2 linked regions of the Macaca fascicularis genome follow. The protein of the gene in region 2 purifies or fractionates together with the protein of the main gene of each other region. This does not show direct contact. Links are inferred from orthologs where the notes say so. Each region holds a gene or a part of one and is shown on either strand. Other genes may lie near its edges.

Region 1 (3,830 bases), on a different chromosome or scaffold from region 2:
CTTTTGATTTAAAATATAACTGAAGGAAAATATAAACTCTGAATAAACAGGCATTCTTCTACACAAACATGAGTTATTTCAGTAAAAAACAACAACAACAACAATAATAAAGCAATTTCAATGTAATCAAGCCACCTCTGATTAATACATACATTTTCATGCATGTGGAAAAATTATTTTTAACTAGAACTTTAAGAATAAGTTCCATAGCAAACAAGTTACAGCATTTATTCAATAAGGAATATTAAAATAATTCCAGTTAGTAAAAAATAAAATAACTTCAACCATATACATATTATAATTTATCATGTACATACTCCAAAATCCCCATAATTTAATTAGGAAATTTACAGAACATCTTTTTAAAGTATGTCTTAGGAAAACCAACCAAAACAATTGGTGCATTAACTAAAGAGAATGTGCATACACATTGCCATTTGACCTATATGCAAAAGTGGAATGAAATACATAGGAAATTAAGGTTACTGCTTTCAAAAATTTCTGGAATATTAGTACTTAAGTCAAAACACTTACCTGCAAAATAAAAACAGCCTGAGGTATTTCCAAAGCTGAAGTAATTTTCTGAATGTTAAATATCACAAGAATGAAAACAGTCTCCATTAAGCATTTACATGTGGTTTACAGTTGAGGCAGAAGATGAAGCTCTGCCAAGCAGTTTTCCCATTATCACCTGAATTCTTTCTTCCCTTACAAAGCATAAGCTTCAAGGGAAATGATTACATATAAAAACATTCCAAGTGAGTTGGGGTTCCTGATTGCAACATTTAACCAAATGGAAAGAGGAATTTTTTAATTCTCCTAAGCAGGACCTACCCAACCACTGCAGACAGGAGCATTAATTCTTATGCTAGATAAGGTAAGTATGTCCTTTGAAATCAAAGCTAAGCTTGACAAATAACTGTACTGGATAAACTGGATACATGAACCACCTCAACAAAGATGGTATTTTAAGCATTTATACACATGAAAACGATGAAGTATATTATTTAGATATGGTCTTTCTTCATCTTTCTCTGAATCCTGAAAGGTTAGCAAGTCGTTATACTCATACATCTTGTAATCCCTTTCTCCACAAAATACATACACATATATAGCATCATATGTCAATATAATATCAACACAGCATAAAGATTTAAGCAGTAGACACAAGTCACATGAAAGAGGCTCTATGCATCATGTGGCCTGTCCCAATAAAAAGCAAACATTAGAATGCCATTTCAGCAATTACAGTGTTGATATGATCAATATAGCTAATTTTTTTATACCCGTCATATATTTTCAGAAGTCATCCATAGGGAAGAAGCAAACAACAAAGACTGCTTTTTTTTTTAGAAAAGTTATGTGCCAACTTCAAAATGACATACTAACCAGACATCAGCATTCGAAAGCTAGGTTGAATAGGACTGGCCTTGATGCACATGCAGATGATTTGCTTTCATAATATAAATTAAATGGTAATGTCAGCTGTATTACTACTGTTTCTATATTTATGATTAATTACTAGCAGTACAACTCCCAGAAGGAAGGAGATGGATCCAACAGCGATGTAAGCAATCCCCAAAAATGGATTTTTTCCTCCCATCCACGAAATAGTACTCAAGATCATCCGTTTTCGTCCATCAAAATAATGTACAGGGTAATCTGAAGAGGGTATAGGAAGATTTTTCCATCTCTGGTTACTTGATGTTTAAAATATAATTTTAAAAGTTGCCATTTAATTGTTGGTAATTCATTTGTGTAATTCTAGGATATACAGGTACCTTACTCCTATGTTCTAAATCACACACACACACAAAATATTATCTTGAAAGACTGATTTAGCAAATTAAATGTCAGTAGTAAAAGCCAAAATATTTTACCAAAACAAACAAAATGTAAAGGTTACGCAGTTTCTCAGGTGCTTTTGGTCTCATTACATGGAAGGGGCAAAAGGCCTCAAAGGAATGCAATGTGAAAAAAATAGTTCAAGTGAACAATGAAGTCCACACAAGGAGACTGACAGACCAGGAGAAAATGGAAAAAATCAGGGACTAGAAGTCTCTGTGAGCTCAAAGAACATGTAGCAAGAGTGTAGTTATGAGACTATGAAAAGGCTCTGAGCAAAAGGTCAAAAAGCATAACAAAGTTTTAACTTGCTGATTTAGAGCAATGGCAAAACTCACTCTGTGACACAGCTGATAGCTAACAGTGGAAGTGAAGGGTGGGCTGTTAAGGAGATTTAGGAAATAGGGCACCAGTATACTAGATGAATTATCTACATGGACCAGTTGTAGAATTTTGCAAGAGGTAAGGTAGCGAAGAAGCCAGAACCAAGTCTCCATGCAAAAAGTTTACAACTTTTTCAAAAGCATCTTTTGAATCTAGGGTTAGGCCCTATCTGTTTCTCTAGTTTCTTCAACTCTCCATCCCCACAGATGGGTCCCTATGGGTCCCTAACTCCCAATGGCAGGTTCGGTTCTGCTAACTTCTTAAATCAACCCTAAACTAAGGCAGGAATGATTTTGAGACCTCTAGCTAACCCAACATTCTGTGGGATACAGTATCAAATTGCCCATGCTAGTCTCTCTCTAGCATCCCAACCCTAAAGAAACAGGCTTCTGCCTTCATTCTAGAAGTCTTCAGTTCCCACCGTATGCCCAATTTTGAAAATTAACCCTTGATGTTTTGCAGGTCCAAATTCCGGTCTTATCAAGTCTTCTCAATCTGCCATATATCATGCATTCCTTTAGATAGTTCTTTCAAAGTTGGGACCCTGCTGCGGAATTCCTGTGTGGCAATTATCTATCAACTAAGAATTCCTCAGTGCTTCACAGACTTCCCTTCATTGTGCCCTAGGCTACAGGTTGCTAAATGTGCCCTTACTCTCTAGAGATTTTCTGGATGCTAATTTTAACAGAGCTGCTCTCTAGTTTGACTATCTCCTCAGGATAATGTTCTAGAAATCAGCACTTGAACTGGGTCTGTCTGTCCAAAACTGCTCCAATGTGGATTTAGTTTCAAAAACTTGGTCACTTTTAGCTTGCCATAGCAGGCCATATTTACTTGTGTATTCAGGTGCAATAGCAAGAGACTAGAATCCAAAAAAAAATATTTTTAAATTGGGTCTATTAATTTAACCATTTACTAACCCATTTTAAAACCAAAACCCACTTGGATTATGACTCATTTGGATTATGAAAATAAAAAATGCAAAGATCAGCAAACATTTAAGATTCTAGCATTGGGAGATCTCTTCACTCACAGTGTATGTAAAATATAGGCTCCAGATTAAAAGATGTAAAGACTTTGGTTAGAATAAAAGAAATTACTATTTCCCTCCTAATAAAGACTGCATCTATGCAGATATGGGTTGGTGTAACTGAGTGAACTAGCAGAGATGTAGCCTATGTTGGTAGCTGAGAGTAAAATTATGGCCTTTGGAGTCAACAGCCTGGTTATGAACCCCAACTCATTGTTATTACCTGTGTAAAGTCAGGTAAGTTACTTAAGTGCTCGATATTCCTGTGTTCTGGTCTATAATAGGGAGATATGCTGCTGCCTGAATTAAATAATGAGCAGAAAACACTCAGCACAGTGTTAACACATAGAGTGGAATAAATGTTATTTATCAGCACTGAATGTGAACTTATTAATGTGGAACAAAACAGCTAATAATAAAATGTTTTGAGTTTTGATACTACCAATAGATCAAAATTATGAACAATTACATTGATACAAATTAACACATCCATTGATTTTTAATATCTAAAAATATATATATTAAAACATCCCAGTACCACTCAACTCCCAATTTTAGGTATTCTCATTGG
Region 2 (3,830 bases):
ACCTTGTGGGAACAATATCCAAAGGAAAAGCCATTTGTCCATTCAATTTTTGTCCTATTCTTAGTGCCTTCGTATCTACATGGGATGTAGACTCCATGGTTTCAGATACTGGTGTCCTGAAGTCAAATGTAAACAAAATAGTATCTGGAGAGTCCTTTCTACCTTTCAACTGCAGTTGTCATGTGGGTACTTTGATTTAGGCAAAGGCTGTCTCAAGAGCAGAAACACAAAGCAGGGACTGTGGAGAGGGTTAAAGTCAGGAAGTAAAGAGTTTTGAGGTGAGAATGCAAATCAGCCCCATTTAAACAACTGTGAGGCTCTGTTCCAGCCACACAGTTTCATTAACTCAATTTGGAACTCCCAGTCACAAAAATGACATTTCCACAGTCTTGACATTCTAAATGTCATGAGAATAAAATGCAAGCCAAAAAATTCCTTCGGCTCGCAAAGATCATTACATGACAGAGTAAAATCAAAAAAAGGGGAAAACTTCCTCAATACTAATAAGAAAAGTACCCGAGAAATCATCACTTGAAGAATTACAGCCAGACTGTGTTGCACTGGAAAATAAATGCACCTGGGTTAGAATGGGGTCACAGTCTGGGTTACATTGGTATATAAAGAAGAACGCATTTTGAAGAGTGCATGCCCTCACATTTTCCCTTCATTGAAATTCTTGTACTGGAATAAATAACTCTGCTTGTTAGGTCTATCTTCTACCTGATCAGAAATGTACCAAGAAAATGTCAATAGGACAACTCTGGTCAATTTTGCTTATGGAACAAAATACATTTATAAAAGAGCCATATTTGCTACCCCATATTCTATCCACAAATGGTTATAGATGGTCATGAAGACTGTCTGTTTCCTGTTCCAAAGCAATAGCTAATAAGGTAACATCACCCAGTTCCAAGGAGAATTTCAGTAACATTCAAATTTAATACATAAATTGCATCCTTCTCAAAAAGGCCAGCAAAAGAACTGATGCTATAACTATGAAAACACTGCTTACCTTCATTACATGCCTGCATTAAAGAATTTTCTCTGAATCATTTTTCCAAATGTGACATGATCACATATATTGGTAATCCAGAATACATAAAAAGATATTTTCAGTATGTTGACAAATTATTTTAAGTAAAAAAAAAATATGCTCTAACCTGACCAAGTTCTTCATTAAGGTCTGATGTGTTAACCAGGGCTCCTTCATTAATTTCTTCATCATAAAAGTCCTTATCCCATGAGATGAAGAAGGAGCCTAAGAATTTCTGCATTTCTACTGTGACGTACATGGAGACAGGAATGATAAAGTTGAATAGAACCATAAATGATAGGAAGTCGGTGAACATTTTTAAAACCTAAAATAAAAGAGATAGTTCATGCTAATTAGACATACAATTCCATCAGACCAATATAATATAAAGGAAGAATTAATTTCATCTTTATTTCAATGCTGAAAACACTGCTCTTACTATCAAGATGGAACTTCCCAATAACACTACATCACTGTAATCAAAATTATCACAGTATGTGAGAATAATATTTAAGAACACCCTCAATTTTATCATTATTCTTCAGTATATACGACTTCAGTCAGTACTTTTTCACTTCTTTAAGTTCTCTTTGCTCACTCCACCCTAAGATATGAATGTGAGATCAAAGTTCGTATGTAAGCATTCATTATGCTTTTATTGTGACATCTCACATACTCCTCTTATATTAAAATGCCAAAGCATCTTGCCAAATTGTTTCATCTTAAATTCTTATATAAAGAGCTAAAAACAAGCACAGACGCCTAAAGTAAAAGAAAAAAAAAAAACTCTAAATCTTCTTAAATATTTATTGGCTTAGAGCCACCATGTAATCAAGAGAAAATTCAGAAGCTTACAAAAGGTGCAATTTCCCTGAGCAGCATTTCAGTGAAAGTTGGCTCAGTCACAAAGTTCTAGAGTTTCAATTTTCAGCAGAAAACAAATTACCTTCAAAGTCTCTCGCTCTTTCTGAGTCTTTTGGTTATACCAAGGTTCATCATTGTATGGGGTACTCTGCCAAACGTACTTTAGAGTAGTGCATACTGCAGCTTTGGTCAGTAAGATAAATAAATATACAATCAGGAAAGCATTAATAGATCTGAAAAATAAGACAGCATGGATTTTAAAACCACCTAATTATTAATACTTAAGACATCAGCCAGATATGAATTAAACTACTGAGTCATCTAAAGCTTTTTCTGCGTACGACGCATAACTATAGCACAAGCCTTTGTGTGTGAACCTCAGTTATCATAGCTGGAGCATTACTTTCAAGTGGCAAAATGAAAAGCTGGCCATGAACTGTTTATTGACCACCAATGCTCTCCCAAGTGCAATGGCTGACTAGCGGAACACACCTTAGTAAGGTTCCTGTAAAGTGACAGGGGACGTACACACATGCACACATACAAACACCATTACTTACTCAACCCTTATAGAAGGAGTATCTTGTCTCCATTTCCCTGAATCCTAAATGTTTGGGGTAGAGGGCACGGTAGCAATGTGAAATCCTCAAGTTCGGTGTAGGTTCTTTCAGTTTGAAAGTGGAGCTACGGAAAGGGTGCCAGTGATGTACTGGTTATCCATGCCAAATATAGGGTGAGGTCTATGGCTGTGGCACCTGGCTTGAGGATCTACCAGGTAATGCTTCAATAGGTGCCAGGAGACTATTATCTATATTATAGAACCAACTTGCATATAGCAACTAAAGGACTCCAAACTATTGACTCCACTAGCAAAAAGGAATGAATTTATAGTTCAAGTAAATTCTGCCCTTTAATAGCTATGTGAGCTTAGGTAAGTCACATACCATCTCCAAGACCATTTCCTCATCTGTAAAGTGGAGAGGTTAACATGAATTATTTCACAGTGTTCTTCAGAGGACTAAACCAAATCAGACATACAAATCATTGAGCACAGTTTCTGGTACATAAACAAGTGCTTATAATAGTAGTTGCTATTATAATTGATGTTGTTTTTTGTTATGCTTGTTACTTGGAATTACCGAGAAAAGTAACTATTTTAATCAATAATGACTAAATAAATTGTGGCGCATACTCATACTAACTTTTCAACAGCAGAACGTTTCTGAGATTTCCCTTGGTAGTTCAAAGCCATTTTGGTTTCCATTCCAGTGTAAACAGCAACTCCTAAGAAATTACAGAATATAATGAAAACTAAGAACTTGTCAACCAACTCCTCACACAGCTGGCTCTATGAATTTTTAAGCCTATAAAAGCAGGAAATCTAGGCCCTCTTCCACTCACCAGTTGTATATCATTTATAGTATAATTTTAATTATATAGAGTATTTGTCATATTTCTTCTTAGTTTACCACCTTATAAATTCCCAATATCTAAATATAGGTTTAGATTAAATGGCAAACCTGCCATGTTTACTTTTTAATATGCACTATTTATTCACAGCCTTTACAAAGCATATTTTTTGATAAGTATATCTTAAAAATTGTTCACCATATATCTTCTCGGTATTTTTTAGTGTAGCTCCTTTCAGCAAGAGATTTTCAGGTCCCAAAGACCTAAATAAAAAATGAACACAGCTTATCCAAACAAGCCAATAGCATCAACAACTCTGGGGACAGATTTTGCCCTGACACACACCTATTTCCAAGGGGTTCAGAATGTATCTGTCTACTTATACCATATGCTTACTCCCCAGGACAAGCTGAAAGGTCCTTCATTCTGAAGTTACTTGAGGGTACAGCACAGATGGAAGCACAGTACGGGAGTAGCCAGCAACACACAGAGGCAAAAAAATACATGGGGGGATAAAAGGATT

The links.
Region 1: the proteins of ATP11C (region 2) and TMEM30A purify together in Homo sapiens (co-immunoprecipitation; 4 studies listed by BioGRID and IntAct, with this or other methods). This does not show direct contact. The link is inferred for Macaca fascicularis from reciprocal best matches to the Homo sapiens genes ATP11C and TMEM30A.

Annotation. Positions count from the first base shown.
Region 1 is NC_088378.1:99,869,033-99,872,862, reverse strand, and holds part of TMEM30A (cell cycle control protein 50A), read right to left. Parts: intron 1,663-3,830; coding exon 1,469-1,662; 3' UTR 1-1,468. UniProt on the Homo sapiens protein: Accessory component of a P4-ATPase flippase complex which catalyzes the hydrolysis of ATP coupled to the transport of aminophospholipids from the outer to the inner leaflet of various membranes and ensures the maintenance of asymmetric distribution of phospholipids.
Region 2 is NC_088395.1:146,045,658-146,049,487, forward strand, and holds part of ATP11C (phospholipid-transporting ATPase IG), read right to left. Parts: intron 3,571-3,830; coding exon 3,506-3,570; intron 3,182-3,505; coding exon 3,100-3,181; intron 2,131-3,099; coding exon 1,980-2,130; intron 1,359-1,979; coding exon 1,161-1,358; intron 1-1,160. UniProt on the Homo sapiens protein: Catalytic component of a P4-ATPase flippase complex which catalyzes the hydrolysis of ATP coupled to the transport of aminophospholipids, phosphatidylserines (PS) and phosphatidylethanolamines (PE), from the outer to the inner leaflet of the plasma membrane.